Linked DNA regions of Oryzias latipes. The main gene of each other region encodes a partner of the protein of the gene in region 4 in a complex. Links are inferred from orthologs where the notes say so. Each region holds a gene or a part of one and is shown on either strand. Other genes may lie near its edges.

What was found.
Region 1: nme5 (region 4) and ropporin-1-like protein share a complex: the UniProt entries of both Homo sapiens proteins name them as parts of the axonemal radial spoke complex. The link is inferred for Oryzias latipes from reciprocal best matches to the Homo sapiens genes NME5 and ROPN1L.
Region 2: nme5 (region 4) and DPY30 domain-containing protein 1 share a complex: the UniProt entries of both Homo sapiens proteins name them as parts of the axonemal radial spoke complex. The link is inferred for Oryzias latipes from reciprocal best matches to the Homo sapiens genes NME5 and DYDC1.
Region 3: nme5 (region 4) and lrrc23 share a complex: the UniProt entries of both Homo sapiens proteins name them as parts of the axonemal radial spoke complex. The link is inferred for Oryzias latipes from reciprocal best matches to the Homo sapiens genes NME5 and LRRC23.

What each region holds. Positions count from the first base shown.
Region 1 is NC_019878.2:13,553,888-13,558,754, reverse strand, and holds part of ropporin-1-like protein, read left to right. Parts: intron 1-2,325; coding exon 2,326-2,449; intron 2,450-2,884; coding exon 2,885-3,046; intron 3,047-3,494; coding exon 3,495-3,670; intron 3,671-4,867. UniProt on the Homo sapiens protein: Functions as part of axonemal radial spoke complexes that play an important part in the motility of sperm and cilia. Important for male fertility.
Region 2 is NC_019877.2:16,025,288-16,031,332, reverse strand, and holds DPY30 domain-containing protein 1, read left to right. Parts: upstream 1-2,135; 5' UTR 2,136-2,203; exon of another isoform or gene 2,204-2,263; intron 2,264-2,322; 5' UTR 2,323-2,346; coding exon 2,347-2,496; intron 2,497-3,072; coding exon 3,073-3,192; intron 3,193-4,951; coding exon 4,952-5,146; intron 5,147-5,253; coding exon 5,254-5,265; 3' UTR 5,266-5,385; downstream 5,386-6,045. UniProt on the Homo sapiens protein: Functions as part of axonemal radial spoke complexes that play an important part in the motility of sperm and cilia. Plays a crucial role during acrosome biogenesis.
Region 3 is NC_019865.2:13,825,571-13,831,711, forward strand, and holds lrrc23 (leucine-rich repeat-containing protein 23), read left to right. Parts: upstream 1-2,009; 5' UTR 2,010-2,274; coding exon 2,275-2,349; intron 2,350-2,513; coding exon 2,514-2,623; intron 2,624-2,705; coding exon 2,706-2,826; intron 2,827-3,037; coding exon 3,038-3,179; intron 3,180-3,360; coding exon 3,361-3,491; intron 3,492-3,647; coding exon 3,648-3,784; intron 3,785-3,868; coding exon 3,869-4,073; intron 4,074-4,166; coding exon 4,167-4,199; 3' UTR 4,200-4,341; downstream 4,342-6,141. Other genes in the region: RNA-binding protein 10, read left to right, coding at 28-219, 325-381, 525-716, 894-941, 1,035-1,078, 1,171-1,261; transketolase, read left to right, coding at 5,030-5,136. UniProt on the Homo sapiens protein: Essential for sperm motility and male fertility. Plays an important role in the proper assembly of the third radial spoke (RS3) head and the bridge structure between RS2 and RS3 in the sperm flagella.
Region 4 is NC_019868.2:17,075,478-17,081,446, forward strand, and holds nme5 (nucleoside diphosphate kinase homolog 5), read left to right. Parts: upstream 1-2,058; 5' UTR 2,059-2,180; coding exon 2,181-2,309; intron 2,310-3,073; coding exon 3,074-3,279; intron 3,280-4,185; coding exon 4,186-4,286; intron 4,287-4,480; coding exon 4,481-4,599; intron 4,600-4,688; coding exon 4,689-4,748; 3' UTR 4,749-4,844; downstream 4,845-5,969. Other genes in the region: rack1 (receptor of activated protein C kinase 1), read left to right, coding at 151-261, 509-649, 854-964, 1,180-1,245. UniProt on the Homo sapiens protein: Functions as part of axonemal radial spoke complexes that play an important part in the motility of sperm and cilia. Does not seem to have nucleoside diphosphate kinase (NDPK) activity.

The DNA.
Region 1 (4,867 bases), on a different chromosome or scaffold from region 4:
TGTTAGAAATCCCACTGCTGTCTCTCCTAGGCACTTCCATACCTCCACAGGTACGTCATCAGGACCAACGGCCTTTCCGCTCTTCATCCTTTTCAGAGCCTTCCTAACCTCATCCTTTTCAATCTCTGCTACTTCCTGCTCCACAACAACCACATCTTCCTCCCTTCTTTCCCTGTCATTTTCCACGTTCATCAGCTCCTCAAAATACTCCTTCCATCTTTTTTGTACACTCTCCTGAGTTGTTAGCACCTTTCCATCTCTGTCCTTAATCACCCTTATCTGTTGCACGTCCTTCCCATCTCTGTCTCTCTGTCTGGCTAGCCTGTACAAGTCCTTCTCTCCTTCCTTTGTGTCTAACCTGTCATATAGCTCATCGTAAGCCTTCTGTTTGGCCTTTGCCACCTCTCTCTTCACTCTACGCTGCGCTTCCTTGTACTCCTGTCTACCTTCCTCAGTCCTTTCTACATCCCACTTCCTTTTAGCCAACCTCTTCCTCTGGACGCATTCCTGTACTTCCTCATTCCACCACCAAGTCTCTTTACCGTCTTTCCTCTTTCCAGATGACACACCTAGCACCTTCCTACCTGTTTCCCTGATAATTTCTGCTGTAGTTTCCCAGTCATCTGGAAGCTCATCCTGACCACCCAGGACCTGTCTCAACTTCTGCCTAAATTCCTCACAAGTTTCTTCATTCTGTAGCTTCCACCACTTGGTCTTCTTTTCTGTTTTCCCTCTCTTCTTCTTCCTGACCTCCAGAGTCATTTTACACACCACCATGCGGTGCTGTCTGGCTACACTCTCTCCTACCACCACTTTGCAGTCGTTAACCTCTCTCAAATGACCTCGTCTACATAGGATGTAGTCCACCTGAGTACTCCTACCTCCACTTCTGTATGTCACTCTATGTTCCTCTCTCTTCTGGAAGTAAGTGTTGACTACAGCCATTTCCATCCTCTTCGCAAAGTCCACCACCATCTGTCCCTCCAGATTCCTTTCCTTCACACCAAACCTGCCCATCACCTCCTCATCACCTCTGTTGCCCTCACCAACATGTCCATTAAAGTCTGCTCCAATAACAACTCTCTCTCCTCTGGGGATACTCTCTATGACCTCATCCAACTCACTCCAGAATCTCTCCTTCACTTCTAACTCACAGCCAACCTGTGGCGCATACCCACTGACTACATTCACCATCACCCCTTCAATTTCTAACTTTAGGCTCATCATCCTGTCTGAGACTCTTTTCACCTCTAGAACACTGTTTACAAACTCCCCCTTCAGAATCACTCCTACCCCGTTTCTCTTCCTATCAACACCATGATAGAACAGTTTGTATCCTCCTCCAATACTACGTGCCTTGCTGCCCTTCCACCTTGTCTCCTGCACACACAGTACATCTACCTTCCTTCTCTCCATCATGTCTGCCAGCTCTCTGCCTTTCCCTGTCATTGTGCCAACGTTAAGAGTCCCTATTCTCAAACCTATGTTCCTGCCTTTTCCCTTCTCTCTCTGGCCCCGGACCCTTCTGCCTCCCCTCTTTCTTCGACCAACAGTAGTCAAATTTCCACCGACACCCTGTAGGTTAACAGCATCGGTGGCGGTCGTTGTTAACCCGGGCCTCGACCGATCCGGTATGTCTAAAGTGTTGTGGATGATTCGCATGGTTATTTTGGCAATTTTTACGCCGGATGCCCTTCCTGACGCAACCCTCTCTATTTATCCGGGCTTGGGACCGGCACAGAGGCAACTGGCTTGCAACCCCTGCGGCTAGTGCAGCGTGAGTTTCTATGGTTGCAAAACACCAGATAAACTGCAAAAGCAATATTCTTGTTTAGTAAATATTTTCTTTTTTGAAATCACACAGCATGTTACCACTACCACAGAGCTAATACATCAGTTATGTACGTTAGATTCAATGCAAAGTTTCCTGTAAAACAATTAGAGCTCGGCTCGAACTGGATCATTGATCATCATAATTTCCAGGCATTACATCAAATCTATGACAGAGTATTAGAGAAAGTAAAAGTTAGACGATGAAAATGGCCCAAGTCCACATCTTAAACTAAATGGCAGATCCTTAATAGATCTATGCATACATAAATCTTACAATATTGTAATGCACTAATATTTCTACACATCATCAGTTGATGAAAGTCACATCGTTAGTCATCCATAGGTTCTGGAGTTGACTTAGCAGTTTTTACGACAAGTGAAACAGATGAATAATCATCATTTTCAAGGCTGGTTTAACGTGTCATTGAATGTTTTTTTTTATTTTTTATTGCAGCATCTTTTATATTAATGTGATTTTTTTTTTAAATCCAGGTACTTCAATGATTTGTCTAAAGGAGAGTGTCTTCCTGTCAAGGACAGACTAGAGATTGATGCCACCACCCAGAAAATGGACCCCAGCTTGACTCCAGGTCTACTAAAAACCCTACACAAGCAGGTATTTTTCAACAGCAGGCAGGCAGTAGTGATCAAGGGTTTATCATTGCACATATTTTTGTCATTGTTTAAGAAAGGGAATCATTTGTTTGTATTTGTTTTTGTGTGTTTTTTGTAGATTTATTCTAATTACTCAGATTTTTCAAATTTGGCCATTTAAACCGTTTAACTTTCATTTTATTTTCCTTATTTATTCTATACCTTGATTTGCTAGATATTGTCAACACCAAAAGATGTGTACTGATTTAAACGTTTTTTGAGAAATGCCTCCATTTATGTCGGAAGTTTTTAATGGTACACACTGGAAAAAAAGTGCAAACTACATTCAAAAAAGAAAATTTCTAAAATCGCAAAAAGATCTCAAATCCTTTTGATTGCAAATGTGACAAGTAACATAATCTGCTGATCCCAGTTAACTCTTTCCTTTCTTTTTTAGCTGTCCTCCAGGAAAACATGTAGCAAGGAGGAACTGCAGGCCAAATGGAAGGGCTTGTGTCTTTCACCCAATCAGTTGGATACTCTGTTGTCCTTGGGCGGCTTTGATTCAGAAATCGACTGGATTGAGTTTTTCGCTCTGGGCTGCAGTGCTCTAGGAGGGGTAAGGTGCTACAAAAATATACACTCAGTTGCACTTTATTTGACTATGATTTCAAACCCACAGTGAAAAACCTTAAAACTTTATTTTATTTTATTTTATCTAGAGTAGATTCATTTCAGACATGTCATCTTGTAAATCCTTAAATTTGGACTGATTGAAGTTCGACAATTATATTGATCACTATAGAAAAAAAACCTGGTGATTTAAAAAAAATAGATTCTTAATGTTTAAGTGAATGCTGCCAAACGTTAACAATTGCAGGGTGGTGCTGTAACCACAGGGGGGCAGTGTTGCTCTGCATCCATTAGGGGAAGCTTTGCACATATATGTATGTGTGTTTTTTTGAATGAATCTTTGGCATGATTTTACATGAATGCTCATCCCATGTAACTATTACTATTAAGAATCTAAAGTTCTTGACATTATTTGTCGTTCTGCACTTTTCCAGACCCTCTTAAGCTCCATGAAGTTTGCCTGTGAGATTCTGACAAATGATGAGGAGGGTGGTGCTGCAAGGATCCCATTTGATACCTTTGTCCAAATCTATACTTTCTTGGCTCACCTAGATGGAGATGTACTACAGGAACACATTGACATCTTCCTCAACAGTTTGAAGCCACAGGTGTAGGTATTTTGTTCGTGTGTAAAAGCTGTTTCCCCAGTCGGGACTGCAATAGGCAGATTGGATTTAGCATTGTATAAAACCAACAGCACATATTTCTAAAACATAAACATGCTTTTTTCATTAAATTTAGCTTCCATCTGAACTTACACTGTCCCTATAAAACGCATTTTGAGGAATACTTAATAATCTGTTATAGGAATGTGCATTAGTTCACTCCAAAATCACCACAACAAAAGAATAATGACTTTGAACCAAACATTCTAGGACATAGTTTCTGCAGAGTGGCAGGAGTTCAGTAGAAATTTGACTCTGAGATAAACCTGTCTCGTTCCCAGATAACTCGGCGCTGTCCAGCCGTACAGTTTTGGGCCAGATGTCAGCTCGGATGAGGAAAACAAAGACGTACATGAATCTAGTCGTTTACAAGTGGATCCATGGGAACGGAGCGGGGCGGGGGGTCTTGAGGCCCAGCCTGGGTATTTTTAAAAATACAACCTTTTTCAAAGGATATTTTTCCGTCTGCTCCTGATGTCACAACAATTGAATAAACTAATATTCCGAAATCCAATTTGTGAAAGAAAAATGCAAGGTTTTTCTTCGGATTGGGTCGTTAAGGAGGAAAATAGGCAGAAATAATCCAACTCAGATTACAGGAATAGTCAAGACAGTGATGTTCACATTAATTTTTAAATTGAGTTCTAGCTTTTGCTCAGGTTTCTTTTTCTTTCTTTGCAAAGACAAATGATGCTAAAATTCATCTAGCCAGTTATCAGACAGTTCACAGGTTTACATAGATTCCCTTAGTCGTAAATGTTGTTGTGATTTTCACTGTTGCAATCCTTTTACAGATAGGTGGAGCATTTGCTTCCATGCATTGGTATCTCAGCCCAAGCGCAGCATTCAGGTTTTCAACTTCTATACCAGGAGTAGGTTGGGACAGAACACAGAAAGTGATAGAGCACAGAAGGAAACAATAAGGAAGCAAATGACAGTGTTCGATTAATAAATGTGCCCACCATCGCTCCTTCAAACCATGTTGTTTCATTTCCAGCAATTGGTCCCATTAATTGTTGGTCTTCTTATTCATCACTGTCCGACTGAACCAGCTGATAGTTTGGTTCAGGGTGAAATCTTTTTAATGAACAAAAAGAGAAGCACAAAGCTGCCTTTCCACAGACTGTCAGATGAAGTATGTG
Region 2 (6,045 bases), on a different chromosome or scaffold from region 4:
CACCAGCAGTGTTTTGGTCTGTGATCCTGACAGATAATTGAGTAAAGACAATACATGTTCAATTTGACCACTTTGGATCATTTACTGACAGACATAATAAGTAATCTCCAGACTGTGACCGAATGCCCTCTTACATTTGCACCCCCAAAGGGAGACTGGGTTTGATAGTTGTTAAAAATATACAATTAAAAACTTGACACACGTTCCATAAAAGAGAAGGTTAAAATAAAGACAGTTGGACCACACTCCAGCACCGCATGAGGGAGGCTGCCTCCAGGATCGCCTCGGCCCCACTGCACCGGTGGGTAGCCACGACGACCACCACCAAGGGAGATCTCTAATCCAAACCCTCACCAGGAGTACCTGCTCAGGGCCCAAATTCACACAAACACACCACAACCCAAACAGTGATTAAAAGAAAATACAAAACAGAAGAGGTGCAACTGAGCAGGACACCACTAATTTGTAGGCCGGAAATGGGGGGGGGGGGGAAATCCCCCTTACACAATACTACACATGGCACCCACCAGCTACCGTAAGGATAAAGGGAGGAGGCAGCCACCTCCAGCCAGGTCCAACCACCAAGAGACTAAAATGAGCAAACAGTTTAAAAAAATGGATAAGAGCAAGGGTGTCAAGCTTGATTTAAACATTAAAAACACTAAGCAAAACAGCAGTGGCAACTCTGCTGGAAAAAGAAAAATAAGTTAGTTCTCCCTGGGACAAATACATGTTTACAAACCCTTATGTTACCGCTCATGCCCCAGGGTCAGAACTCATGCCACCACCTGTTAATATAAATAGAATTTAAAATGTTGCAAACTCAAATGCTTAAAAAACTTTTGTAAAAGGACTCAAATGATTAAGCTTTAGCTTAAAAAAAAAAAAAAAAAAAAAAAAAAAAAAAAAAAAGCCCACATGTCAAGCTCACCCACCAAGGCCAAACCAGCATCTAGGTGGAACTCACAGCTGCTATTTATCAGCCTCATGAGCCAATCACAGCTCAACAGACAGGTGCTGGCCATGAATATTAACCTATGGAACACCACGAGGGACAAACTACCACCCACAGCCCTGTCTGTCATATAACGATAAAACAGGGATAAAGAGGGAGTTTCCAACTGAGGTCTGTTTCTAACAGTTTGTTTAAAACAAGGTTTTTTTTTATAATGAGACTGCCACTCTGTAAATAACAGAACCAAAAAAAAATCCAAACAATTGCAAAAATCCCAGTGCAAGAAATTGTAATGTAATATGGAGGGGAAAAAGATGAAAAATATATATAAGACATTCTAGACATGTATCTTTCTCAGTTATTATAAGTGGCAATTTCTCCCATTTTTCTACTTAAACATATTACCAAATGGCCCACTTTTTAAGGACAGAACAGTTTATCATAACAGTAGATAAAGCCATTGACTGTACAATAGGACATTATGTTTTAATATATCTATTATGCAGTCAGTAAGACTAACAGGGTCTGCGCCACCTAGTGGTAAAAATTTCGTAAAAATGCACAAATCACATTTTTCTTTGAGTGTGAATATAGAATCTTCCAACAATTTTATTTCTGCTTTTATTAAATAACTATGTAGTAGCATCTGCACCATTTAGATTAAGATAACTATTAGTTTTATGAATTCCTTTTTTAACATAGTCTTTTGAATTATTCCTCCCCCAATTTCTGACATTCTGTGACTGATGTCTCTTTCTGCTTCATAACACATTGAAGCAAAACTTGTAAAGATGCAAAAGAATTTTAATATTGTTTTATTGAGTTTAACTACTGGAAAGCAATTTAAAACACATCTCAAAATGATCACTTTCTCGTCAAAATATTTAATCTGTTTCACAAATACTATTTTGTGCGTCTGTGTATGGGTGTGTGTATGAATGACAATGAGGTTTTTTCACAAATATTTCTTTTTGTCTGTAGTTTTTTTTGGGGGTGTTATTAATATAATTGAGGATTATTATTATTATTATTATTATTATTATTATTATTATTATTATTATTATTATAAAAATCATCATCACCATCATCATATTTATAGTAGTAATAACAATGCCTGAAACAACCAATGGTTGCATTATAGAAATGACATCGAATACAAAGCGGAACTAAAAAACGGTTGGGAGACTTTAAACTGTGTGGGACCGTTACCACGGAGATGCAACCGTCCGCATAAAACAGTAAAATACGGTAATTTCCGTGTTAATTTTGGCTAATTTGTGCAGGTTTTATCCATAAAATCGCTTTCAGGTCATTTTTGTTCGTCATTATTGCCTTAATAGCTCCGAGCCTCCATATTTGCTCTGTAGATAAACAATCAGAAAACGTGTAGCATGATGGATTCGGAGTATCTTAATAAACATCTGGGGAAATGTTTGGCTGAAGGACTTGCTGAAGTGGTTGAACGGAAACCCGTGGACCCTATCCTTTATTTGGCCCACTGGCTGTACAAGTATAACTCAAATACGCTGTACGAGAAGAAGGTGAGTCGTTTTGTTGTTTTCACCAGCAGGGGGCACTAAAGGATGCAAACACAAAAGTTGTTGATTTACAGTGTTTTTAAGCATTACGTGGTTTACTTTTCCGTGTTTTCCATTTACAAAACGCTATAAAAACATAAAGTGATTGCATATATCATAATTTTTTTGAAACGTTGTCTTGCAAATGCAGTGCTGAATTAGAAACTATTAGAAAAGTGTGTAAACACACCAACCATAGTGTCATTTTTTTTTTAAAATGATGGATCTAGATTTTGCACTCCAGCTGCTTCTGATTATACCCATGTTGTTGCATGCCGTCAAACAGGTTTTAAGAGGATAACAGTGTTAGAGCACGTAAACTCATTATGCTGCAGGATGTAAAATAAGTAGGGCCTCAACAACAAAGACTCACCTTTTACCTTTAACACAGAAACTGTCTGTACCTCTACTGACACACAGCTGAGCCCTACTTAAAACAAAATGAAAGTTTAAACATTTTATGGTTTATATAAGATGTATACTTGTAAACTTTAGACTTGTAAGCTTAGATTTGTTCCTGTATCACCTTTGTATTTGCAGAAGAAGGCAAGTCTGGCTCTGCTGGATCAAGATCAGGAAAAAAGCAGCCAAGAAGCATCACATCAGGAAAATCTCACAGAAGAGGAGCAGATCAGTAATGCATCAAAAGGCACAGAGAAAGTACTTTCTCACTTTCTATTGCTAACTTAAAAGTATTTGATTTTAAACATCCTGAATGCATAGCTGACATTTTTAAAGACCTACTCTAACCATCTTTTGATCTATTTTCACAGAATTCCCAGTGGTCTTGTAATTCAAATTCAACTTTACTTGTGCACCACTTTTTCGACTACAAAGCCTCTCAAAGTGCTTTCCATAATAAAATAGATAATTGTAAGATAAAAAACAGTAGTTAAAATAGCAAACATAGTAAAAATAATAATGATAAAATAAAATTAACAACATTAAAACACATACAGACCCAAAACATACACATCCCACAGGTACAATCAAAATGAAGCGCATCAATTGCTGATAAAATTTATAAAATCTAATGAAAACATGTTGACAAGTAAAAACTACATAAAGGCTTTACTAAAAAAATGAGTTTTAATTTTTTTCTTAAAAACCTCCACAGTGGATGAAGCCCTCACCTGCCTGAGGAGACGTTCCACATGGAAGGCCCACAGTACTGAAATCAGGCCTCGTCGTGGGTTTTTGTTCTGACTTTTGGGACCACCAGCACACCTCCACCTGTGGATCTAGGAGGGTCATAAACTAAAAGTAAATCTAATAAAAAAATGAGGGGCCAACTCCATTTAAACTTTTAAAAACAAATGAAAAGAACTTTAGAATCAATCCTAAAGCTGACTGGGACCCAGTGGAAAGATTTCAAAATATTTCTTTATTTTTTTTCTTTAGCACTGCAATAGCCTGGTTTGTTTAGTCACAGGAACAATTCAAGCTGGCCATCTCACCATTTGCAGGAAACGTTCCCAGCTAGGTTAATTCACAGCTTTGCTGGGCTCAGGTGAACGTCGCGTCTGCGACTATGATTGTGCCGTATCAATCAATTATGAAGATTTTAGTCAAAAATCTAAAATCTGTGGTTTTCCGGGACATAGTTTCTACAGAGCAGTAGTAGTTCATCAGAAATATGCCTCTGATTCGTGGGTGGTTTGACCCCTTCCCCCCTTACCGGTACCAGTATTTTGAAACCCTCTCCCGTTAGCTTACAGCCCCTCACACCCACCTAACATGACTGGTGCAACAGAAATGGTGAGCAATACCGGAGCTGTTCAGATGTACAGTTTTGAACCACATGCCAGCTTGGACGAAGAAAACGCCGACGTACCTGGATACATAACAAATATGATCTTTTTCAAACTGCATTTTTTTGTTTGCTCCCAATTAACAACAATTTGAAAAAAGAGGTACTTAAAAATACAATTTAGAGCTTAACTTTCTTTTCATATTATGTCCGCCATCATGACATCTTTTGAATATCAGGCCATTGTTTTTAACAACATGTTAAAAACACAGTTTTCATCAGAGTGGGTCTTTAAAGGCCTAAAACTTTAACCCCCCTCTGAGGAGCCACAGATTAGCTCAGACACTAGAGACAGACGCTGAGACAGACAGCACTATTCAATAGTTAAGCATCAGGAGGCAAATGGGCAGCGCATGAGGGAGGCTGCTGATAAAATCGACTCCAGATGAGTCACGCACACTGCAGAGACAGAATTAAGGAATCTACTCCAGCGTTACAGGCAGGATCTGCACATTGATTCTTAAAAAATGCTGTATAATACAAGTTTGAAATACATTGCAGTCTGCTTTAATAAAACAAATGCTTTTAATAGTTCTTATGTTGAGCTAAAAGTCCTAAAACTCTTCAAAAAATGTGTTTTTTAAATGTAATTTCTTTACTTTTTCTTAGACTGATGATGTGGAAACTGAGAAACTTGAAGATGTCATCCGGTCCTCGTCAGTGCTCCAGAGTGAAGATGCTCAACCCGATGAGACAATTCACCATGAAAAAAAAGAGGAAGACATAACTGACCGCAACCATGAAGAAAAGGAGGAAGAGATGAGAGAAATCAAAGCAAGTCCATCTCCTATCGGTCTAGAAAAGGTAAGTATTTGTTGTTTTTCTCAAATATTTGGTACATCAAAATGTGTGTTCAAAAAGTACAGAAAGGAGCAAACGTTTGCTGGTATTTACTGGACACTTTATTGCAGGAGGCTGCATGATGGAAATTTTGGACCAGTAAGTCATTGGAAGGAACCAGAAAGTCATCAGAAGACTGCCGGAATATGACAGCAATGACGGATCACAAGATAAATAAATAAAAAGTGCTATTTTTTTCCTGATATCTTTGTTTAACATTTTGATATTTTATTTTATTGGAGTAAATTAAAAATGAGTTAATATTGTTTTTGTTATTTAGATCGTATAAAAAATTGCCACCTCACTGTTTCACAATAAGCATGAAAGGACAAATATTGATTTTTGTAATTTTATTGTCTTTTATGGCTTGTTCAAGAAGTGTTCAAAACTTTTAATAAAGTCATTTTAAATTGAAAAAAAAGCTGTAGCTATTATTAGACTGCATATTTCAAAACTGCCCATCGCTCTGCCTTGTTTCCACATTTTACTTGTGTGTCACAATGAGACTGCTCTGTTACTGAGCTCAAAGTTCAGAAGCTACATCTATACTAAATCTGAGTTTAAAAATGAGTATGAAGGGAAGGCTTGTAGAGGAAAACAAATATTTATTTATTATTTCTCCATAAATATTTGTTTCCATGTATTTTATTCTGGCAAAGTTCCTGAATCTTCATCAACCTTTGACCATGAAAGTTAACCCTCCTAGATTTCCTGGCTTTGTTGTTGCCCTGCAGTTCAAAGGTCAGATGTCTGCGCAGATCAGGCGCAGCTGCATGTAATCTGGGTGTCTAATCAGCATTTCAGGCTGAAAGAGGGCTGGGCTTTGGGAAGGGAAAAGCAAACTGGTGACTAAAACCCTGCTG
Region 3 (6,141 bases), on a different chromosome or scaffold from region 4:
TGACGTATTTGTGGTCTGCATTTTTAGATTGCAAAAGATATGGAACGCTGGGCCAAAAGCCTCAATAGACAAAAGGAGAACATGCGATCTGGTTCTTCGTCTGCCGTTGGGTCCACTTCTCTCCCACCTGGATACACTCGGGCTCCAGGCCACAGTCGCTTGGATGATCAGAGGGAGTCTGCAAGTGCAGATGCAGGATACGCTGTACTAGAGAAAAAGGTGCACGAGGCCAACGTACACACTTGGCTTAAGGGGATATGTCTGTCACAATGCATTTGGACTTAAGACTGGATGGTTATTTACATTTTCTTTTTTGTCCTACAGGGGGCACTGTCAGAAAGGCCTCAAAGTTTTCTGGACCAACTGCGACAAAGCACAGAAGTAAGAGCAATGATGTAGAATATTTGCTAGTGTTTAATCATACTTTTTATAACGTCATTTTGTTTTTTACAGTTAAGAGATTCAATGTATTTGCTTTGCACTTCATCATCATCGTAAAGTCTTGATTTTGACTCTTTGTGTAGCAATCGCCTCCTCAACAGCACGGCCTGGTCCCAGCCTACAGCGCAGAAACTGACAGCGAAGAAGAAGGAGATAAAGAAGATAAGGAGGGAAAAATGACAGACTGGGTTAAACTTGCCTGTCTGCTATGTAGGAGGCAGTTTCCAAGCAAAGAGGCGCTCATAAGGCATCAGCAGCTCTCAGAACTGCATAAGGTACGTTTATTCCATTTTAATGCCAATAAAGATGTGAAACAAAAGATTTTAGACAGTCAACAAAAAGCGTTGGTCTGTTACACGTGTCTTCGTGTACTAAATGAGAAAAAGAAATTGACCAAAATCTTTATTTTCACGTTTGAACATTTTGTCCTGCGTCTGTATCTTTGTTTACAGCAAAATTTGGAGCAGAGAAAAAAACAATTGGATGCTGTAAGCAGAGAGGTTGGTCAGTTCATGTGCATGGATTGTACAACAATACATGCATTCAATATTGAGTGGTTTTATGCAGTTTCTACTTGTGTTTTGACATTGCAGAGACTTGAACCTCCAGATTCTAGGAAGCGAAAGTTTAACCCTCTGTAAGTCAGTGATGCTCAATACTTAATACAAATAATGTAACTTTTTTAAGGTGTGTTGCCTAATTTTTTATATCCTTTCCTTGTCTGTATAGTGAAGGCATCACCGGCATTAGTCTTGGAGCACGAATGTTGCAAGGAGGAGTGAAAAGAAGTCTTCTACTGCATAATACAGAAATAGAGTGACCTCTCACATGTAAATTTCCTGATCCAGAAAGGACAAGCTCACCTGCAAAACACTTCACTCTTCCCCATTACATAGACAGAGAAAAATATATTTTGGTCTGACGATACTAGAGTCTGAAGAACATAGCACCTCTTTGGACTGATCCTGTAGCAGTACATGTCAAGATATTGCACAAATTGCACCTTTTTGCTTGTTTTTTGTGTGATTTAGGATTTCCTCTTGCTTCAGTTTGTGTGAATTAAACATGTGAATTCAGAATCACTTACTTTCAGAAAAAGGAAAGTTCTACACAGGTCTAAATGTCATGAAATGAGAATTTTCAGTCACTGTACCATATAGTTTTATTTGTTTTTTAAGAATATGCTGTCATTTAATAAATGATGGGTCCCAGCATAAACTGTGTATATTTCAGAAGTTTTTACGGAAACACTTTTGTGTGTCTGTGTTGTTGTTTTTTTTTTTTTTTTTTTTTAATATGATCACTTACTTAATTGGTTGTGCAGAAAAAAAAACGTTCTTTTGCAGAAGTTGAGTATCTGCAAAAGTCGCTTTCTACAAACAATGTTTTCTTTTTTTGGTTACATATGAACATACTTTTTTTATTTCATATTTTTGGTAGTCGCAGTTGCTAAACTAACTTTTTAATTTCACTTACAAAAAATTAAATACTGCAAGTGTAAAATAGATTAAAAAAAATGTTACATTTTGACCAACGTCTACTTTTGTTTACTAGTATTTCACAATTTTTGTCATTAAGTTTGGCCCTACCCGAAGTTGGGGTTAGTTGTTGCTGTGGAGTTTCCATGGTAACGCTATTAGAATTTGGTATGTTCGGTGTAGCTCGTACCATCCATACCCAAATTAACCATAATCCTTGTTAAATATTATCGGAAAATAGAGCCTTTGAATTGCTCGTGTTTCCACTCATTTCCGCGTAAAACTGCACTATTGCTTATCGTCGTACCGAATGCTGGAAGCCTGTTGGCTAGCTTAAAGTCGGTTCAATCCCGCTATGGAGGAAGAAATTCTACTGTCGGACTTGGAAGATGAGGAGGAAACAACTAATGCGAAAGGAGAAGGCGATAAGGTACACAAAAATCCGTTAAAAAAAAAAAACACACATTGATTTTTACAGAAACTGAGGAAAAAAAAGTTCATTCGTAAACTACAGTAATGCATTGACAGCTACTGAAATGAATTTCAAAACTTCTGTTCATTAAAATAAAGCTTTTTTGTTTTGTTTTTTTAAAGGCTCAAGCACACACATTGACCAAAGACATAATAAAAGAGGGACTTTCATTATTGTGCAGGACAGTAGACAGACTTGGACATGCTTTTATTAAATTAAACCTCAATAACATGTAAGCAGACAAAACACATTTTAACTGGACTGACTAACCCAATCAGCTTCTAATGGATTTTTCTTTACTACCTACTTCACAGGAAATTAAATGATCTAGCTGCGATCAGCGGCTACATTCACATACGTTTATTGGATTTATCCAACAACAGCCTTACTGATCTTTCTCCTCTGGCCTCCCTAAAGCAGCTCCTGTGGCTGAAGGTAGCCTACTTTATTTAGATTTGTCTTGATCATTTCTGTGGCAGATTCATTCATTTGAAATGACATTAATTGCTGAATTGTTTCTAATTTCCTCTATGATTGAGAGGTAAAAGGATTTAGTGGTGAGCCTCTGGTTTTAAAATGGTCCTTCAAACAGCACCAATAGTTATAATGGGTTGTCTGTACATTCTTAATGATCGACAAACTGCAGGTTGACAAAAATGATGTGGCGAGCTTCCGAGGACAACCGTTTGCTGAGCTGATCTATCTGCAAAGGCTAAATATGGCAGCAAATCAGTTAAATGATGCCGATGGCCTGGTTGGGCCCGCCCTGGAGAGCCTCAATCTTACAGGTTATTGATTAATCTGTATTCCAAAATTTAAAATAATCTAATTTTTAAAATTATATATATATATATATATATTTTAAAATTATATTTACGATGTAAAATACTTTCTATCTCACATTTTTGGAAATATTAAACATTTAAAGCCTAGTATAGATTTTAAGTGACACAGTGACCTCTTTTTCAGGAAACAAAATTCAGTCGCTGCATTGTTTTCAAACTAGCTGCTTTGGAAATCTGCTTACTCTGGAGCTGAGAGGAAACCATTTGGAAACCACTGATGGCCTCAACCTTCCAAATCTGCAACGATTATATCTGGTACATAAAAGCTGTTATTTTATTAAAATGACTAATATCTGTGAAAGTTCTTATCACTAAAATTATGCTCTTCCAATACCGTACCACTATTCCTTACAACAATATATCAAAATATTGATTAGAATTGCTATTACCTTTTTTTCCCCTTTTTCATAGGCTGATAATGGGATCAAGCATCTTGAAGGTCTAGACAAGTTAGAGTCTCTCGCCATCCTTCATATTCGAGATAATAAATTAGAAACTCTAGAAGGCCTCAGTCCCAACATGAAGTGTCTTCAGTATCTAAATGTCAGGTATGTGTAAGAAGGTGAGAGACCCATTGTGGTACCTACAAAAATTCTAAGAGTTCATATTTTCTGTTTGTTTCCATCTTTTAGAGGCAATTTAATTGCAGAGGAAAAAGCTTTGCAAAGCATTGGCCTTGTGGCAAAAAGCCTGCAAGCATTGGTTCTTTCTGAGAACCCGCTGGTGGCAACAGCAGACTATCGCCCCAATGTGTTGACACTTTTACCGCAGCTGAAAAGACTCGACAAGGAGCCTGTGACACCTGCGGAGAGGGGTGACAATCAGATGAGAATCAGAGTAAATGCTTAATATTTTTGTGGTGTGATCAGATCACATATTCTGGCCTTTTTTTTTTTTTTTTTTAAAAAAAGGACATTTCTATCTTTTCAGGAACTCGAGGAAGAGGAAGTACCTGAGCCATAAGATTTCATAAGATCTTTGTGAGAGGAAGTGCTGGGCATAAAAAGCAGGTCTTTCAAGAGATGATGATCGTGATTGCACATCAAGTTTGATTTTAGAAAAGCTTTCTTTCCAAATTGTTACAATAAAAAAATTGCCTTGTGAAGTGTTTTTTTTTTTTTTTTGTCTTAACAAGAACAATCACATACACAACATGTAGTTGCAGGATTAAAGGTGGGGCTGGTTTATAATCCATGCATTGTCATACATTTTTCCCTGAGTAAGAATGAGAGGGCAAAATCTGACCGCACTTCCTAGTTGGCTGACGTCCACCTGCGACCTTAAAGGGACAGTAACATAAAAAAAACGTATGTGAAACATTATTAATGCATAACCTGCATGTTCTAATTAACTGTTTAATGGATGTCAGCTATATTATAATATATATGTTTAATTTGTTGCAGTTTTGACAGTTTTCAATAACATTTTCACGCTGCACCGTGATGCATTTGTGTACATATGGTATATCTGTCACCGGTCTTATTGTTATCTGTGGAATTTATTGAGATTTCCTAACATGAAATTTAACGATAAAACTTTAAATACGTCTTTGAAGATGAACAGTTAAGGAGTTAAGTAACAGCCTCTCAAATAAAGCGCGATTTGACGTAATAGGATTGCCTTTTTCTGCTCCCTCCCCTTCAGTCGTCCCCTCCCCTCCTCTCAGGCTCGCATTGGGGCAGCTAGCATCGGCGTGGAGTAGCACTGAACCCACGACACCCGAGACGCACTGCAGTTAAAACAACTCACATTAAATTCACTTTCATTAACGTCCCTTTCAAGTCCAAATAAACATGGCTAACTATCACAAGCCCGACGAGAAGACCCTGCAGGGGCTGAAAGACGTCGCTAACAAGCTACGGATCAACTCCATTAAGGCAACATGCGCCTCTAACTCTGGGTAAGTTTTTTTAAAATAATAATTCTGGAGTTTAATGAAGTATTGCGTTTGAAAGAAAAAGTGACTACCGAGTAAAGGCGTTTAACTGCGAGGGCCTGTTTGCACGTGCGGTGGATTAGTTTCACGCGGCGCAACTTCGCAGAAGCTAGCGTGAAGTTTCAATGAATGCAGTTTGTCTGCTTTTACTTGCCGTACATTTCAACTCAATGCAGCTAACATTTTTTTACTATGCAGACAATAAAAAACCTATAGAAGGCATGATACTGACATTTCGAGTCGCCATTGCTATTTATTAGCAAATAGATCACATGCTTGTGGTGAGTCCCGTGGTTAGTACAACACGGTAGATTCTACAGCTGTGATTATTTGTTTTTAAATTATTTTTTATTGTTCTAAAATGTATGTAATGTTCAATGTGTCAAGTTTAAAAACGAGCACTTGTGCCATTGTTTTATCTCCGACTTTAGCCTTATCGGGTTTTCCGATCAGCGTCAAAAACCAACTCAAACATCGTGTTTTCATAATAAACCACTTGAGTTTATAGATGGATCCAAGTCCAAACGGAAATCTTCATTTTATAGAAGTGCTTTTTTATGCCGGTTGTCCTTCAGAGCTTTCACGTGGATTTTGCTCGACTGCCTGTCGGCACGTTCAGAAATGAAAGTCCAGCCAGAAGACACGCTGCTAGTTATCGACCCCATTCATCAGCAAACTCCTGCAATAAGCCAGGACATGCAAACTCTGACCCTGTGATTGACTCCATTCATGATCAATGAAACAGTTTTCTGTTGATTGCAATTGGACTCAAATGGATTTTCTAGAGAGGCAAATAGAGGAAACAAAGCTTTCAATCAACTTTTCTTTTTTTTTTAATCACTTCCTCATGTTTTCTTACAAGGAAATTGGGTAAATGTATTGTGAAAGTCTGGGAAGTCAAACACCTGTTGTGACATGGTTTTGACGGCAAATACACAACCCTTTGTTCCTGAATCTGTGAGGAATGCA
Region 4 (5,969 bases):
ATGCTCCATGATTTTAAAGAAGTTTGCATGTATTACCTGACCTGGTTTCTGATGAGAAGCTTTGTGGATGAGAGCACGTCTCCACAGTTTTATCTGGTCTTTTCATGTCAGTGTAAACTTGACGGTCACTGTCTGCTGCTGTTTCTATAGGTGTGGAACCTGGCGAACTGCAAGCTGAAGACTAACCACATCGGCCACACTGGCTACCTGAACACGGTGACCGTATCTCCTGACGGCTCCTTGTGTGCATCCGGTGGAAAGGTAAGCTGGTTCAGTTGGAGAACTCGACTCGTATACTTGTGAAGATTTTTAGTGATGGCACACAAAGGCCGACCTCCAGGTGTCAACTGTGATGGATAAATAACACATCATTCTGTTGGTAAACAATTGATGACAAAAGAGGCTGTTTCTGAGTGACACTGAGTCGTAAAGCCACGCTAAATGAAGATCCAGAACAGAGCTGCTGTGTGGTCATGGCTTATTTTCTTGTTAATGTTCTCTCAATCAGGACGGCCAGGCTATGCTTTGGGATCTGAACGAGGGCAAGCACCTGTACACCCTGGACAGCGGCGATGTCATCAATGCCCTTTGCTTCAGCCCCAACCGCTACTGGCTTTGTGCCGCCACTGGCCCTAGCATCAAGATCTGGGTGAGAGCTCCTACGTGATGATGTGGAACTACTGCTGAATGTGGTTTGATGGGCCTTGATGAAACTTGAAAATGCTAACTGTATTGCTTGATGATAACAGAGGCTGTTTCTGAGCTCCAGACTAATTAGCTTCAGTCATTTCTGTACATTGCCTGTTATTTTGAGTTGTTTTAGTCATACGGTAAATGTTTATTCTGTGTGCAGGATCTGGAAGGGAAAATCATTGTGGATGAGCTGAGACAGGAAGTGATCAGCACAAACAGCAAAGCCGAGCCCCCACAGTGCACCTCTCTGGCATGGTCTGCTGATGGACAGGTATTCAGCTCCTCTTGACATAAGTACAAGATGGGGCTGTTGCTAAAGCTAGTCTGTCCTTCTAACCCCCAGTGATTATACCCATTCACTATTAGCTCTGATTTTGACTGCTGACAGTCCTGCAAATATGAGGGGAAAGGACAAAAATCAAGGCTATAATCAATGTATTTAATGGTTTTTGTGATCAGTAACTTCCATCCTTCATTTGCTTGCAGACCCTGTTTGCTGGTTACACCGATAACCTGATCAGAGTGTGGCAGGTCACCATTGGAACCCGATAAGAATCCATCGCTGCATCGACTTTAAATAAAAAGACTGTTTGAAAAGTTGTGTGTTGGTCTTAACTTTAAATATTTTACTTTCACGCAGATTGAGTTTGTCATTTTAGAAGACTGCTCATAATCAAAGTTTTACTTATAATATTGATGCAAGATCATTTAAAAAGCTAGTTAACAAATTTAAGTTTGAAATGTTGAGGTCTACATTGAATCATGAATAAAGTTAATTGTAGGAGTGAAACATTTGAATTGATTTATATTCCTATGATCCATCCAGATTGATGCATGTGGCAAGTTAATCAAAACACCCCAGACCATTATAAAATCGTTTAGAAATGAAATTAATCAATACTGGAAACTGCCTTTTGGATTGAAGCATGGGTTGCAGCAAAAACTGATCATTCCACTCCAATGTGCAGAAATACTTAATTTTGCAAAGATGTGACCATCCAGTGTGGTAGAATGTTCTCTTTGGATTAGGTTGATGTGGAAAAACAGTGGGCTCAACTTTATGAAACTAAAATGTGAATGGATTTGACATTAATTCTTGTTTACTAGTTTTTTTGTACACAATTTAAACTTATCTTGTAGGAAATACAAGGTACCAGGTATTTATCCGAGTCACACTGAAGTTTTGGCTAAAGATCTCCTGGATCCATTTTAGGTCAGTGAATCGGATCATTCAAACTGAATCGATATGAATCAGCAACCATAAATATCGAATTATTGCTAAAATCTATCATTACACCCTTAGTTTTCATTCTTAAAGGCTTCTCACGTGGCAAGTAGGAAATAAAAGAAGTTTGTCCCTCCTCAGCTCCCGTACTTGTGAAATGGTAGCGTAGCAACCAAAACAGCGCAGGGGTATTGAATTGGTGGGACGAGGAGGACTTCTTGTCGTTCCTATAAAAATCAGTTTTACTTTGCGTGAGACAGAGATGGAACTTACGCATTTAGGCGATCAAATTCGTGTAGAACGAACACTGGCGATCATAAAGCCAGATATCTATGAAAAAGCCGAGAAGATCGAAGGTTTCATCCTTCAGTCGGGCCTCACAATCCTGCAGGTTAGTAAATCACTGATGCGCAAACCTACACGTCTGAGAACTGAGACTATTTACGTTTAGAAGGAGTAGTTTTCTGTGTGACCAACGTTTAATTAACGCAGTGGACACATGTCTACTGCCATGTGAAGTTTATTAACAATAAAAATAAAGGTTTTTTTTGTTGTTGCTAGAAGTATAAATAAAATGCTGTGTAGAAACTGTTTATTTTTCCAAAATGTAACAAGAACTCACACACAGTGGCCAAATGAGCAGTGAGATCATTTGGCCACTTGAGGGCGCTAATCCAAACAATTCGGTGAGCGAGCTAAAGTCATTTCTGACACAATTAGCCCTTGTGCTATCCTAGGCTCTTAAACATTGGGAGTTGGGTCATCTAGACCCCACAATACAGTGCGCTGAACCTTTTTTCTTCAATGATTTGCAATCTTCACTGGTGTCCATGAAATGTAGGATGGCACAAGGGTTAGAGATGCAGAAGACAAGAAGTTTTTTTTAAGGATGGTACAAATAAAATTTCTCAGTCACGTGAAGGAACAGTAATGTATTAACCTACAAGATCTTCTAGCTTTCAGAGCAAAAAAAGGTTAGTGGTTTCATTATAACTGCAGGTAAACGTCAGTTTTGAACAGCCTACTCTAGCTGTTAATTCATGTAGGATGTTTGAAAATCATGAGGACATACGTGTTTGAAAAAAACCTTTCTGTCAAGTTTAAATAGTCATCTCTCCTGCCATGGTTCTGCTGTCCGTTCTCCAATCCTGTTAGAAGCGAAGGCTGCAGCTGAGTCAAGAGCAGTGCAGTGACTTCTACTCAGACTGCAGCGGAAAACCTTTCTTTCCGAGCTTGATGGCTTACATGAGCTCCGGCCCGATCGTTGCCATGGTGCTGGCTTGTGAGGATGCTGTCACACGCTGGAAGTCCATCATTGGTCCTGCCAGCATCACAAACGCCAAAGAAAGTCAGCCAGAGTGGTCTGTTTCATGTTTATTTGTGTTTATACCGTAACAGAGGAGTACATTTGTATTTATCAGTGTAGATTTTTCATTTCATTACATTCATAATAGAATAAATTTTACTATGACATGTCAATGAAGAATATCTGGATCAGAGGTCTGCAACCTGAGGTTCCAGAGCTACATGCAGCTCTATTATCCCTCAATTGTGGCTCTTTGGCTTTCAAGAAAAAAAGCATACGATTGTAATATATCATGCTTTTGTGGTTTTGGTTCTTTTTTTTCTCTCGTTAAGTTGTCAGTTATGCTTAGATTTTTATCTCAGATGCCCATACTGATGCAGATAAAGCACATTTTCCAATCTTCTGCTGTACCACAGTGTCTAGTTGCTGTTCAGAAGCAAAGTATTCAAAGTAAATAATTGTGTTTACATGTATGGATCTAGAAATAATGATGTCATTAATATATTTGATAGTATTGTAAAAGGTAAAAAAGCAAGACTGTGCACCAAAGACATATTTGTAAAACATGCCATGTTTGATTTGCAATTTTATTAGCCCTTTTAATTCTGTAAATCTGCTAACTTTAAATCTGCTTTAGCAGATGTTTGTATTTTATTTTGAAAATGAAATTGTTGTGCAGTTCTTAAAAGTAAAATAGATGTGATTAAACAATTGATTAAAACTATGTCATATATATTTTTCACTTTAATTCAGTTATTGTCGATGCTATAAAGCTCCATGTTGTGAATGAATGGCCACAAAAGCATGAATAAGGAATTTTTCCAAACTTGTGAAGTGGGACTTTGCGGCTTCTACTGTGTTTTTCTCAGTAGAAAATTAGACCAAGTGACTCTTGTAGCTTAAAAGGTTGCAGACCCCTGATCTAGATCTTTAGTCTGATGATATGGCTGATTTTCTCCAGTCTTAGAGCGAAATATGGAACTTCTGACCTGAAAAATGCTCTTCACGGCAGTGAGTCCTTTCAAGAAGCTGTGAGGGAGATTAAATTCATGTTCCCAAACTGTAAGCTGTTGTTTCTTTTTTACACATTTTGTTGTCTATAGGGCTACTACAACAAATACAAAAACATGTAAACTTGTTTTAATCCTTCACTCACAACTAGACTGAATTTCTTTTCTACCAATTGTCACCATTCTCTTCGTATTTAATGTATAATTTTATATGACTTAATAGATGTTTCCTGTTTCTCTCTGTAGCTTTCATTGAGCCTTCCCCTTCAAAGCATGAAACCAAGGAATACCTGAGCAGGTGTCTGAAGCCGGTTTTGCTTCGTGGACTCACAGAGCTTTGTAAAGAAAAGCCCCTCAATCCTGTTGTTAGTTTACTCTATGCAGATTTTTCTTTTTATTGATTAGTAGCATTTTCCTGTTATTTAATTATTTATTTATTTGTTTTTATTTACAGATTTGGCTTGCTGACTGGCTGCTGCAAAACAATCCGAATCAGCCTCAAACATATTTCTAACTCTTGGATGATATCAAAATAAAAGACTCAGGAAGTTCCAGATGTATTCAATTTATGTACCACTTTCTATGAATAAACACACAACTTTCAGCTGTGTTTGTGCATTAAGTTTGTTTTGTGACATTATCAACTAAGTTTTGTTCTAAATTGTATTCGAGTGTTTTTTCTAACATACTGAAAGCTTTTATATTTTTTAAGAATTGACTAGATGAATGTGCTGCATTTGAGTTGCGTCGAAACTTGTGAAAACGGAAGATTTTCGATCGTTAATCTCGCTACGGAAGCGTCATTTTTTAAGTAGAAAAAACACTTGATGTTTACAACATTGTCGCCGTCGTATAAAGTGTTCATCAAATTACAATTACAACAGGCATAGAAAAATGTAAACAACCTTAATAAAGTTAAGTAAAAAAAAAACAATAATACAGAAAAATACAAACTTAAATAAAAAAGATTAAGATAAAATTAAAGAAAGGGGATACATGGGCGTTGTAATGATCATTCATTTAACTGATATCAGTGAACGCCGCACTTCTTTTTTTAAACTCCTTCCCCTCGTCTGCGGGGCGGAAACGAGTGGTGTTAAAAAAATAGAGGAGAGAGATTAACTCTGGTGTGATAGGTTGATTTGTGATTGACAGTCGGCCTTGTCCAATCAGAAAGCTTCTTTGGAAAAATGTCAATTTTTTCCCCCTGCCGGTTCCAGAAAACCAACCATGAGTTTCTCGTCGCGTGGGAGAATCCATTTTGAAGAGAGCTCTCCGGCTGCTAGGCTTGTAAGTAGACTGTTATAATTTTTTTTTTCATCATAACTCGACGCAATCGCAATTTTACCTGCATTCTTTGTTTGTGTTTTAAACGGTTCTCATTATATTGATTACAGAAGAACGATATTTCATGATTTTAATAATTTTCAGGGCTGCGTGGCCTCTGACTTACGTAACTGCGAATTTAATTTGCACAGTCCGGGTTTATCGATGTGAGATGGCTACAACGTCGCTAATCTCTACGCCCGGCAGAACAACTCTTGATTGGCGATAGTCGCCGCCATGATGATGTTGTAAAAAAGATGAGTTTTTGGTGCTATAAACCCGGTTTAAACTGGAATGTATGAAATGCCAATCTGCTGGTCAAAATGGTGGGAAAAGCGTGAATTCGTAATGGGGTAATGGCGAACAGAATCACGACAGACGCCGACATTAACAGGCATGTTTCTATCGT